3 linked regions of the Anolis sagrei genome follow. The protein of the gene in region 1 interacts with the protein of each later gene in a pairwise test. Links are inferred from orthologs where the notes say so. Each region holds a gene or a part of one and is shown in the gene's direction. Other genes may lie near its edges. The genes, in order: MYOG, EIF4E2 and POLR2C.

Region 1 (3,754 bases):
ACCAACACATCTGGAGGACACTGAGCTGAGAAAGGCTAATGTAGATGAATGCTTCTAGGGCACTTATATGAGAACAGACTGTCCTGGAGATGATTTGGTTTCAGACCATTCCGTGCTATAAAAATGAAATCAGCATCTTGGATTGAGCCCTGAATTTATCTGGCAACTAATGGTATTGAATAAAAAAAAACCACATGGTTGTGTCATCTAACCCTTGCAAGAATGCTGGTATAGCTGTAGGGTGGCTTGCTGGCATTTTTTAATAATACACTAGTCTAGAGCACATTACAGTAATCTAGCTAGAAATGATTGGAAGTAGAATTCGTTTTGCCTAAGAGTCCTACTTTTTATGGACTGAAAGTACTTTTAACAGCCTCATGGATGGCAATAATCAAAAGGTGAAACTATTCCATTACTGAGCTGTAACATCAGGAAAGTTTCACCTGTTGACTTTCTGCTTTTTACAAAATGTTCGAGGCACTGAATTTCTTAAGAGTCCACAAAGAAGGGGTGTTAAATTTAAGCACGCCACCTAGGCCAAAGTAGAGCATGAGGTCTTGGAAAGTGGAGTGATTCTTCCTTGCTTGAGGAGAACAAATGGACCTGCCTTTGTGTCTATGCCTGTGCCTTGCTCCTTTCCAGAAAGGGATGGATGGCTTCGAAGCTGGCAGGGAGCAGTAATTGAAAGGAGCAGATGAGTCAGGAATGCTGCACAGAGCTGCCAGCTAAGGGAGCTGACTGATCATCAATATCATTGTAGGAGAGCAAGTGAAAATAATCCAATGGGGCTGTTGTTTGAGAGGCGGCTGGACTTCTCTGGAGCACATGCCAGATCCTCCATCCACTCCCCCCTCCGCCCACCCCACTTTAGCCACAGCACTGCCCCAAGCAGCAGACTAATCCCCACAGGGAGAGTACATGAAATCAGATGGACAAGTTTTGATGCGAAGCAGCAGCTTAGGGCAAGCTCAGGTTTCCTGGAGGTTTGCTATATTTATCTCTGTGATTTAATGCCCGCACAGGGTTTAAATGCCACCAAGCAGTTGGTGTGAGAGGCCTGCGTTTCACTCCCCAACACACGCTCTGCCTTGCCAGACGCTCACCATGGAACTGCTAGAGACCAACCCATACTTTTTCACAGACCAACGGTTTTATGATGGGGAGAACTACCTGAGCCCTCGCTTACATGGCTATGAACAGACAGCCTACCAAGACAGAGCAGCTGTGAGCCTGTGCTCTGATGGCAGGGTTGGGGTTGAGGAGAAGACCTCCTCAGTCCTGCCAGACCACAGCCCTGGACAGTGCCTGCCTTGGGCATGCAAAGTATGCAAGAGGAAAAGTGTCTCCATCGACCGGCGCCGTGCTGCCACCCTGAGGGAAAAGCGCCGGCTGAAAAAAGTCAACGAGGCCTTTGAAGCTCTGAAACGGAGCACTTTACTCAACCCAAATCAGCGGCTTCCCAAGGTGGAGATTCTGCGCAGTGCCATCCAATACATTGAACGCTTACAAGCTCTGCTCAGTACCCTCAACCAACAGGAGCGGGACCAGCGGGAACTACACTACTGTAACAACAACAACCAGCCAGTGGTAAGTGCCAGGGGAAGGGGACAGGTCATCACACAGTCATCCAAGAGCGCAGCAAACAGCTACTGCATCAGCCTTTCCTAGAGAATCAGTAGCTTGACCGCCTTCAACAATATATTCCCAAGTCCAAACTCTCTAGCTTCTATTATTGGCTGCCACTCTGCCTATTCTCCAACAGTCATATATAAGCAAAGTCATATAAAGGTATTCGTAGTTTTCTGTAGATGTTACTACACTGTAAAAGGATAGCAGAAGTGCACTATGGTCTCCAGATATATTTGACTAACATCCCCATCAGTCCCAGGCAACATGATCAATGGTTTAGAAATTATGAGCATTATAGTTCAAAATCTGTAATGTATAGGGTACTCCATGGTGGGTGGGCTGGGAAGAACCATGTCTCCCAGTGTATTCTGGTAATGTATGTGGCTTAAGGCGACTGAAAGGGAATTGAACATTTTCAGAATTTGATATGGCTGGAGAATTATTTTCTTTCTACACAAATATTCCACCATTTAAAACTATACATTTCAGTTTTCATGTCCTTTATAGCTTTCATATTCACAGCTGACACAGGTAGAGGGTATACTTCCAGAAATATATGAATATTACTATATTGTTTTTCTCTATAAATGCAGCAGTGACTGTCTTGGTCTGTTCCTTTTAAATTAGTTGTGCATAATATAGTGGAATTGTGATAGTATTAACCTGCCTAATAAGGGTATTGCATAATGAAGAATTTTGGAATAGATGTATCCTTCCTTATCTATACTGCAGTTTATCAAAGGTGGGCATGAGTCACAGGACAAACTGGCATCACCCCTATAACCCAAGTGACTAGTGGATGGGATTTTATTCCAACAGATGGTACCTCAGGAAATGAATTCTAATACACATGCCAATGAGGAAGGACTTGGACGCTGGACACCTGTTGAGTTCAAATGGGTTACTGGGTATCTCCATTTAAAGATTTACAAGAGCATTTGGGTACAAGCCTTCAGTCCTAAGGGACAAAATACTACAAGATTGAATTCTGGGCTTCTCCTATAAGGCTCTCCAATATGTTTACAGCTCCTCCTTTCAAAGCATCCTTTCGGATTACTACTCTCTTATAATTGCTGAACAAAATGAGTAAGACCATTGTGGAACAGTATGTATTGTGAAAGGGCTCTAGTGGCAGTAGACATTTTGACTAGCCATTGCTATCTCATGTTGTAAACTTGCCCTCCGAGACTCTTGGAGCAGGTAGAAAACCTCTCACCTCCTATCAGTAGGATAAATTTGATTTGGGTTGTGTTTAGTTTCAAAGAATAGTATGGCTTTCCCATTTTCTTTCCAAATATCTTATTCTGAAATAAGTCCTCACATTTTGTAGGCTGAATGTTCATATACTGCCCAAAACAAGCTTGGGAATGTTCATCCAGCCTGGTTTGAGAACAGAGGAAAGTTATGAACAGCTGCAGGCTGTATTCTCTGTTCTTTGTCTGCTTCTCAATCTGTCTACTACATGTTCACCTAGGCTGTTGGCATTGGATTCAATTTCACAGGAGATCCCTGTAATGTACATTTGCAGCACTTTATAGACTCAGAAGACAGCAGCAAACCACAGCCATATCAGAAATTGTTTGTCTCTGTGTTGTTGTTGCTGTTTTCGATTCATTGAAGGTGAAAGACCCTTTAATTGGTGAAGCCGAGATTGCAATGATCATGCTGGTTGAGGAATGCTGAGAGTTCTGGTCTAAACAGAATCACCTTTCCCCAAATCTAATGCAGTCAAAGTGTGAAACCAGTACTAAAGATCTCCCATTTTCTCATTCAAGGTGGGTAGTGACCATGGACCCAGCAGCACTTCATGCAGTCCAGAATGGAGCACCCAGTTGGAGTTCAACACTCATCCAGGAGGTAAGACCATATTGTCTTCTGGGAACACAAAGGTCTAACCCTTTTTGCTCTTTAGAGGTAAGGACCATTCTGGTAGGATCTACACTGCTCTATATCCCAGGATCTGATCCCAAATTATCTGTTTATCCTATATTAACTAGACTCATATAATCCAGTTCAAAGCAGATAATCTGGGATCAGATCCTGGGATATAGAGCAGTGTAGATCCAGCTTCTATTAATCCTAAGTTCTCCTGCTCCGCTCCATCTTTAAAATGCATGTATGTGTA
Region 2 (3,754 bases), on another chromosome or scaffold:
ATAGCCAGACACATTTAGGTTTCTTATTAGATGTTCCTGGTGTGCCATCACAATAATAATTATTTATTTAATAATAATAATAATAATAATAATTTAGATTTATTTTTATTTTATTTATTTAGATTTATTATCTAAATTATTATTTTATAATAATAATAATATAATTATTATAATATTATATAATAATATTGTAAATTATAATTATTATTTATTTAATAATAATAATAATAATTTAGATTTATTTTTATTTTATTTATTTAGATTTATTATCTAAATTATTATTTTATAATAATAGTATACTTATTATAATATAATATTATAAACTATAATTATTATTATTTAATAATAATAATAATAATAATTTAGATTTATTTTTATTTTATTTTATTTAGATTTATTTTATTTTATAAGGAATGATGTCCTGAGTTTATAAGTTGAGATCTAGGTCAATAATCAATAATCTTATTAGTTTACAAGTTGAGATATGTTTAAACAGGGGCTCGATGGCCATCTGTCAGGGGTGATTTGAATGCAATATTCCTGCTTCTGGGCAGAATGGTTGGACTAGATGGCCCATGAGGTCTCTTCCAACTCTTTGATTCTATGATTCTATATGTTTATGAGAAATGTTGTCCTAAGTTTACAAGTCGATATATATAAGAAACAATGTTCCAAAGTGAACCCGGAAATATCACATCTAGAAGTACAGAGATACCACTCTATATGTTCTATCTCTGCCTGTCGGGGAGCGGTCTTTCGAGTCTTTCGAACGCGGCTAATTTTACAACCATAGACAACTCGCGGCATAAAGAGCGGCCCACAGGAAGTAGTGTGGCCTGGATTGTAGTCCCGGGTCCGGGTGGAAACAGCAACCGGAAAAAGATTGGTTCCGCCTGGGCGGAAGTGAAGGGAGCGTATGGAGGCAGAGGAGCGGAAGTCCGGGGCAAGAAGCAAAGCAGCGGCTGGCGAACGACCGAAGAGGATGAACAACAAATTCGACGCGTGAGTCCGGGCCTCAGTGGCGCTTTTAGGCCTCAAGGCAACATCCTAAATCAAAGGAAGGAGCAGACAGTTTTCAATGGCATTCCTACAGGCCTGGTCGAGTTTGGGCCTGCCCTCCAGGTGTTTGGGACTCCAACTCCCACAATTCCTAATAGCCGGTAGGCTGTTAGGAATTGTGGGAGTTGGAGTCCCAAACACCTGGAGGACCCAAGTTTGGAAATACTTGTTTGTAAATATAAATCAAAACTTGTGATTGGAATGGCTTTTGGACTATGATTTCAGGGGTTATGTGCTATATCTCAACTGCTTATTTAAATATATTTATTTGTTGCTCTTTTATGATTTAATGCACAATGTATTTTGTATGTTGTAATGTAGCACTGAATTATTGCCAATTTGGAAGCCGCTTTGAGTCCCCTTCGGGGTTGAGATAGAGCAGGGTAAAAATACAATAAATAAATAAATAAATAAATAATAACCCCAGAAGAGCGGCTTACAAGTCATAAATACATACAACATACTACATAATACATAACTACCATAGTACTATTACATCATTCATAACACTAGTACTACATAATATTACATTATTGCTGGGGGAGGGGCGCTGATGTCACAGGGGACAAGATGGCAATGTCCTCCTGGCTCCCCTTGTTTATTCTGGCCCCAGAGTGGCCGTTGGTGCTGGGCATTACAGCAGGAATTGGCCCTGGATTGATGAATATGATTATTTGACTCTCTGGCTTTGGATCTATGCACAATAGTCATGTAATATTTACATATGTTGTTATAATGTTGTTTTAAATGGTTGATTAATTGCTTTTAATTGATATTGCTGTTTGGGCATGGAATAATGCCAATTATGTAAGCTGCCCTGAGTCCCCTTTGGGGTGAGAAGGGTGGGCTATAAATGTCCTAAATAATAAATAAATAAATATCTCCTGACTTCTTCCTATGTCCACATTAGGGAATATTACAAGATGAAATTGTCTCTTTTGGGTGATTTATTAAAGTCTGATTTTGTGTGCATAGATTTCCCCCTTTGACTGTGTCTGGTTGTGCTGTATTTTTACACACATTTGAAATGTGCACATTTTTCTGTTAGCCACATCTGCAGCCATCCAATAATGAAGCACTTTCAGATCCAATCTATTTAGTTTAACATCTAGTGAAGTTGAGTGCAATGGCTTTTCCCTTACCTTACCATTTACCTTATCTACACAATGTCATACAGTAGGGATAGGTAACTAAGTACTAAAGGTTGAGCATCTCTTATCTGAGATTCCAAAATACTCCAAAATGCTCAACATGAGTGGCTGGGATAGTTACACTGCTGCTTTCTGGTGGTTCAGTTCAGTGTACACAAACTTTGTTTCATACACAAAATTATTAAAAATATTTTGTATAAAATTACCTTCAGTCTATGTGTGTAAAGTGCATATGAAACATGAATGAATTTCACATTTGGACTTCAGTCCTACCTCCAAGATTTCACATTATGCATTTGCAATGATTAAAAACCAAAAATACCCAAAATGTGGATTTCCTGGTCCCATGCATTTCAAATAATGGATCCTCAACTTGCATTAAAAACTGCACTTGAAATTGGTGTAAACACATGCATCTGTTCAGTTCATTCTGTGTGTTCCCATTTTCCACGACTCTGAAGCTGAATTTGTCCATGTTTTCCCTGCATGTAAAACCCACAAATTCTTAGGATGGTAATGCAGAAAAGTTCTTTTATCACATTGAATCAGTGGTCTGAAATTGTAATCCATGAGCTATTTTGGAATTTGGTCCCTAACTAGTTTTGCCAATTCTTAGAAATTATAGAAGCTGAAGTCCAAAACATGTGGAGGACCAAATTTTCAGAACTACCCGACTGAACAGAAAAGGACAAGTAACAGGACACTTGTTCAGCATCCAAAGTGCAATTTCTGCTTCTTTTAAAAATCTCTGCTCTGTCTCAGTAGCCTGAATCCATCAGTCTGGTCTAATAATAACCACAGTCTGTCCTTTAGATTTTGTTCTATGCTAAACATAGTTGCTCCTTCATGCTTTCAAACTGATTCCTTCCTTCCTTTCTTTGCTAGTTTGAAGGATGATGACAGTGGAGATCATGACCAGAATGAAGAGAACAGCACACAGAAAGATGGTGAGAAGGAAAAAAACGATAGAGACAAATCCCAAAGTAGCATCAAGAGGAAGGTATGTCCTTGCCTCTTCCCTAGACTGAAGTGTCTAGTGGAGGATTGTGACAGGGGGGTTTTAACCTGTTGCTCCAGAACCAAGAGGATACCTGTGAATAAGTCATATTAAAGCCCATCAGGCCTCTATTCCATTTATCTCCTTGTGAAAGAAAACAGTGCAAACTTTTCCAGTGTGTTGATTTTGAAAGCAGAATCTGTAATGCAGGTAATACACCATTTCTACAGTTCACTAGAAGGATTGAGTTGTTGATGTGGAGATTTATTTTCTAAAGTCCAATTCCCAATACAAGGAGTTCATTCACACTACCTCAGAGGATGCTTGCCATAGATGCAGGCGAAACATCAGGAGAGAATGCCTCTAGAACAGGGGTCCTCAAACTTTGTAAATAGAGAACTAGGTCATAGTCCCTCAAACTGTTGGAGGGCCGGATTATAGTTTGAAAAAAAATATGAATGAATTCCTATGCACACTGCACATATCTTATTTGTAGTGCAAAAGACACTTAAAAAGAATACAATAATTAAAATGAAGATTTTTTTAA
Region 3 (3,754 bases), on another chromosome or scaffold:
ACTGGAACACCTCAGCAAGCGAGAGTCCAAAAATGGCAGTCCCAAACCCAGAACCTCAACCAATGGCTGATACCAGATGAGAGACTTCCCCCTGGGCACACAGAAGACTGGGCGACTTGGAAGGTGCTGAACAGACTGAGCTCTGGCACCACGAGATGCAGAGCCAACCTTCAGAAATGGGGCTACAAAGTGGAATCCACGACATGCGAGTGTGGAGAGAAGCAAACCACTGAACACCTGCTGCAATGCAACCTGAGCCTGGGAAAATCCCCTGTTGAGAGGTGTTAAGATGTGCCTGGTTGTTTCCTCTCTGCTGTTTTGCTGTTGTAATTTTAGAGTTTTACACAGAGAAGCCATTGAAATCCACAAGCATGTGGACAATTTCAACAGAAAGGAAGAGACGATGAAAATGAACAAAATCTGGCTACCAGTATTAAAAAACTCTAAAATTACAACAGCAAAACAGCAGAGAGGAAACAACCAGGCACATCTTAACACCTGTCAACAAAAGATTTTCCCAGGCTCAGCCAGGCCTTCAAATGCTAATGAAGGTGGTCATTTGAAACATTCACACCTAGCTCCAGCAGAAAAGAGCTCTTTGCCCCACCCAAGCCATTCCACAGATATATAAACCCATTGTCCTAATTCCAACAGACTTCACTACCTCTGAGGAGGCTTGCCATAGATGCAGGCGAAACGTCAGGAGAAAATGCCTCTAGAACATGGCTCTATAGCCCGAAAAAAACCACAAGAACCTAGTGATTCCAGCCATGAAAGCCTTCGACAATACCTATAAGCACTGTTATCCCGCTTTGGCTGCCATGGCAACATGCGAGAGGGCAATGAGGCCGGCAATAGGGGCCTCTCAGGCATTCCAAGGCCTCGCCACACCACAAAACCCCTCAAAACGTTGCCAAGGTATAATATTATAGCCGGGCTATAGTAAAGCAGTGTGACAAGGCTCTCGAGAGGAAGAGAGAGAGAGAAGGGAGCCTGGAATGGGAGAAGAACCGCCTTCCAGTCAGCGAGGGCCTACCTTGCTTGCTTCCTCCCTGTTTCGCCGCCGACCGCCGCCTGGAAATGACGTCGGCGCCGCTCTGCTCCCCGATTGGCGGAGAGCGCGGCCGGCGTCTCCCAGCAGCCCCCGCGGCTCTCGGCGTCCGCGCCAATCCCGGCCTCGTTCCTGCTGCGCATGCGCCGTGGTGTTTCAGGCTCTTGCGGCCTTGTTTGGGTCTCCCGCCAGCCATGCCTTACGCCAACCAGCCCACCGTCCGCATCACGGAGCTCAGCGACGAGAACGTCAAGTTCATCGTGGAGAACACGGACTTGGCGTGAGCGGGGGCTTGTGTGGAGGAGGGGCAGGGCCTAGTCTGGAGAGGGAAGCCGGGGCCTAGAGTGCTTCTGCTGCCCCACTCAGGCACGGAGGCGTCTCAGGCCACCTCCTGGGCTTGGGAAATAGTCCCATATTATTATTATTATTATCCCCTACAAAATGTTTAGACAAAATTTTTAAGACTAACAGATTTATTTATTTATAGCTGTCTCCTGCCACGCGTTGCTGTGGCCCTCCTGTATATATATGTATTTGTGTGTATATATGTGTGTATATATGTGTTGCATATGTGTGTGTGTGTGCCTATGTGTAAGGTAAAGGTAGTCCCCTGACATTGTTGTTGTTGTTCATTCGTTCAGTCGTCTCCGACTCTTCGTGACCTCATGGACCAGCCTACGCCGGAGCTCCCTGTCGGCCGTTACCACCCCCAGCTCCCTCAAGGTCAGTCCAGTCACTTCAAGGATGCCATCCCCTGACATTAAGTCCAGTCATGTCTGACTCTGGGGTGTGGTGCTCATCTCCATTTCTAAGCCGAAGAGCCGGCATTGTCCGTAGACACCTCCAAGGTCATGTGGCCGGCATGACTGCATGGAGCGCCGTTACCTTCCCGTCGGAGCGGTACCTATTGATCTACTCACATTTGCATGTTTTCGAACTGCTAAGTTGGCAGAATCTAGGGCTGACAGCGGAAGCTCATGCCGCTCCCCGGAATCGAAACTGCGACCTTTCGATCAACAAGCTCAGCAGCTCAGTGCTTTAACCCACTGCGCCACCGTTGTGTATATGTGTGTGTATATGTGTGTGCTTGTCTATATGCATATTTGTTTCTATATGTGTGTGTATGTGTGCATGTGTATATTTGTGCATGTATATATGTGTGTGTATGCAGATGTATGTGTGTTTATAGTTGTGTGTGCTTGGGTATATTTTTATATGTGTGTTTATGAGTTTATGAGTATATGAGTGTGTGTGTATGGTGCATTTTGGGGTTTTTAAGTCTGTTCTGCTAGGGGGGGCTGTATTTTTAGTGGTGATGAACACTCGTTGGACTGTTAGGTGTATTGTGTCAAAAATTCGTGTCAATTCGTCCAGGCCGCCCCTGCCACACGTTGCTGTGGCCCACTCTGGTGGTCATGGGGGTTCTGTGTTGGAGGATATAAATACATATAATACTGCTAATAATAATAACAATGAATATTTCTCTGTTTTTCTTTTCCAGAGTAGCTAATTCCATCAGGAGAGTGTTCATTGCTGAAGTTCCCACCATCGGTATTTATCTATTCTTTATTGTTTATCTATTAATTTATTTTATTTTAAACATTTATATTCCACCCTTCTCATCCCGAAGTGGACTCAGCATATATACGGCAAACATTCAATGTTGGGACTCAAATTCTTATATGTATACATAAACAGTATGTTAAAGTCCAATACTACGAATTGAAGACTTTGAGCATGATTAATCAAATTGCTATTATCTCATTTTGTACTATTTTGTTTGCAGCCATAGACTGGGTACAGATAGATGCCAACTCCTCGGTCCTCCATGATGAGTTCATTGCACATAGGTTGGGTGAGTAACCGGCATAGGACACGATAGGAAAACACAGGCTTCTCTAGTTTTGTTTTTAAAACAATATTTTATTATGTGCGTAATTCACATAAAATACATTCCAATGCTTTGATGCCGAGCCTCTTTCTAACTCTGGATTTTTCATAAAATAGTGTAATGCCCAACACATTTAATTTTTCAGATTGTACTAGCATTCAACATTATTAATTACATTTTTAGTAATATCCCCAAGTTTTTCCTCTCCTGCTATATTTTTCTTATGTTATATGCCCTTTGGGAATTCTGGATCCTGTTTATTTATTTGTCGTGTCAGAGCAACCAGTCCATTATATTACATTTCTAACAGAACAAAGCAAACAAACAGACAAATACAAAACTTGTGAGTTTGGTAGTTGGTTAAATGTCCTTTGATGGGTATCTGGCCACTTGGAGTGCCTCAGGTGTTGCTACAAGGAGGTCCTCCCTGGTGCATGTGGCAGGGCTCAGGTTGCATTGCAGCAGGTGGTCAGTGGTTTGCTCCTCTCCACACTCGCATGTTGAGGATTCCACTTTGTAGCCCCATTTCTCAAGGTTGGCTCTGCATCTCGTGGTGCCAGAGCGCAGTCTGTTCAATGCCTTCCAAGTCGCCCAGTCTTCTGTGTGCCCAGGGGGGAGTCTCTCCTTTGGTATCAGCCATTGGTTGAGGTGCTGGGTTTGAGCCTACCACTTTTGGACTCTTGCTTGCTGAGGTGTTCCAGCGAGTGTCTCTGTAGATCTTAGAAAACTATTTCTAGATTTAAGTCGTTGACGTGCTGGCTGATACCCAAGCAGGGGATGAGCTGGAGATGTCTCTGCCTTGGTCCTTCCAC

Evidence for each region.
Region 2: the proteins of MYOG (region 1) and EIF4E2 interact in binary tests that used the Homo sapiens proteins (3 or more experiments, as listed by UniProt). The two-hybrid records come from large-scale screens. The link is inferred for Anolis sagrei from reciprocal best matches to the Homo sapiens genes MYOG and EIF4E2.
Region 3: the proteins of MYOG (region 1) and POLR2C interact in a two-hybrid assay, tested with the Homo sapiens proteins (2 studies listed by BioGRID and IntAct). The link is inferred for Anolis sagrei from reciprocal best matches to the Homo sapiens genes MYOG and POLR2C.

Annotation. Positions count from the first base shown.
Region 1 is NC_090024.1:206,029,630-206,033,383, forward strand, and holds the start of MYOG (myogenin), read left to right. Parts: upstream 1-884; 5' UTR 885-1,029; coding exon 1,030-1,587; intron 1,588-3,404; coding exon 3,405-3,486; intron 3,487-3,754. UniProt on the Homo sapiens protein: Acts as a transcriptional activator that promotes transcription of muscle-specific target genes and plays a role in muscle differentiation, cell cycle exit and muscle atrophy.
Region 2 is NC_090023.1:265,351,160-265,354,913, forward strand, and holds the start of EIF4E2 (eukaryotic translation initiation factor 4E type 2), read left to right. Parts: upstream 1-893; 5' UTR 894-916; coding exon 917-1,002; intron 1,003-3,095; coding exon 3,096-3,210; intron 3,211-3,754. UniProt on the Homo sapiens protein: Recognizes and binds the 7-methylguanosine-containing mRNA cap during an early step in the initiation. Acts as a repressor of translation initiation.
Region 3 is NC_090028.1:6,444,241-6,447,994, forward strand, and holds the start of POLR2C (DNA-directed RNA polymerase II subunit RPB3), read left to right. Parts: upstream 1-1,174; 5' UTR 1,175-1,192; coding exon 1,193-1,331; intron 1,332-2,552; coding exon of another isoform or gene 2,553-2,557; coding exon 2,558-2,602; intron 2,603-2,837; coding exon 2,838-2,906; intron 2,907-3,754. UniProt on the Homo sapiens protein: Core component of RNA polymerase II (Pol II), a DNA-dependent RNA polymerase which synthesizes mRNA precursors and many functional non-coding RNAs using the four ribonucleoside triphosphates as substrates.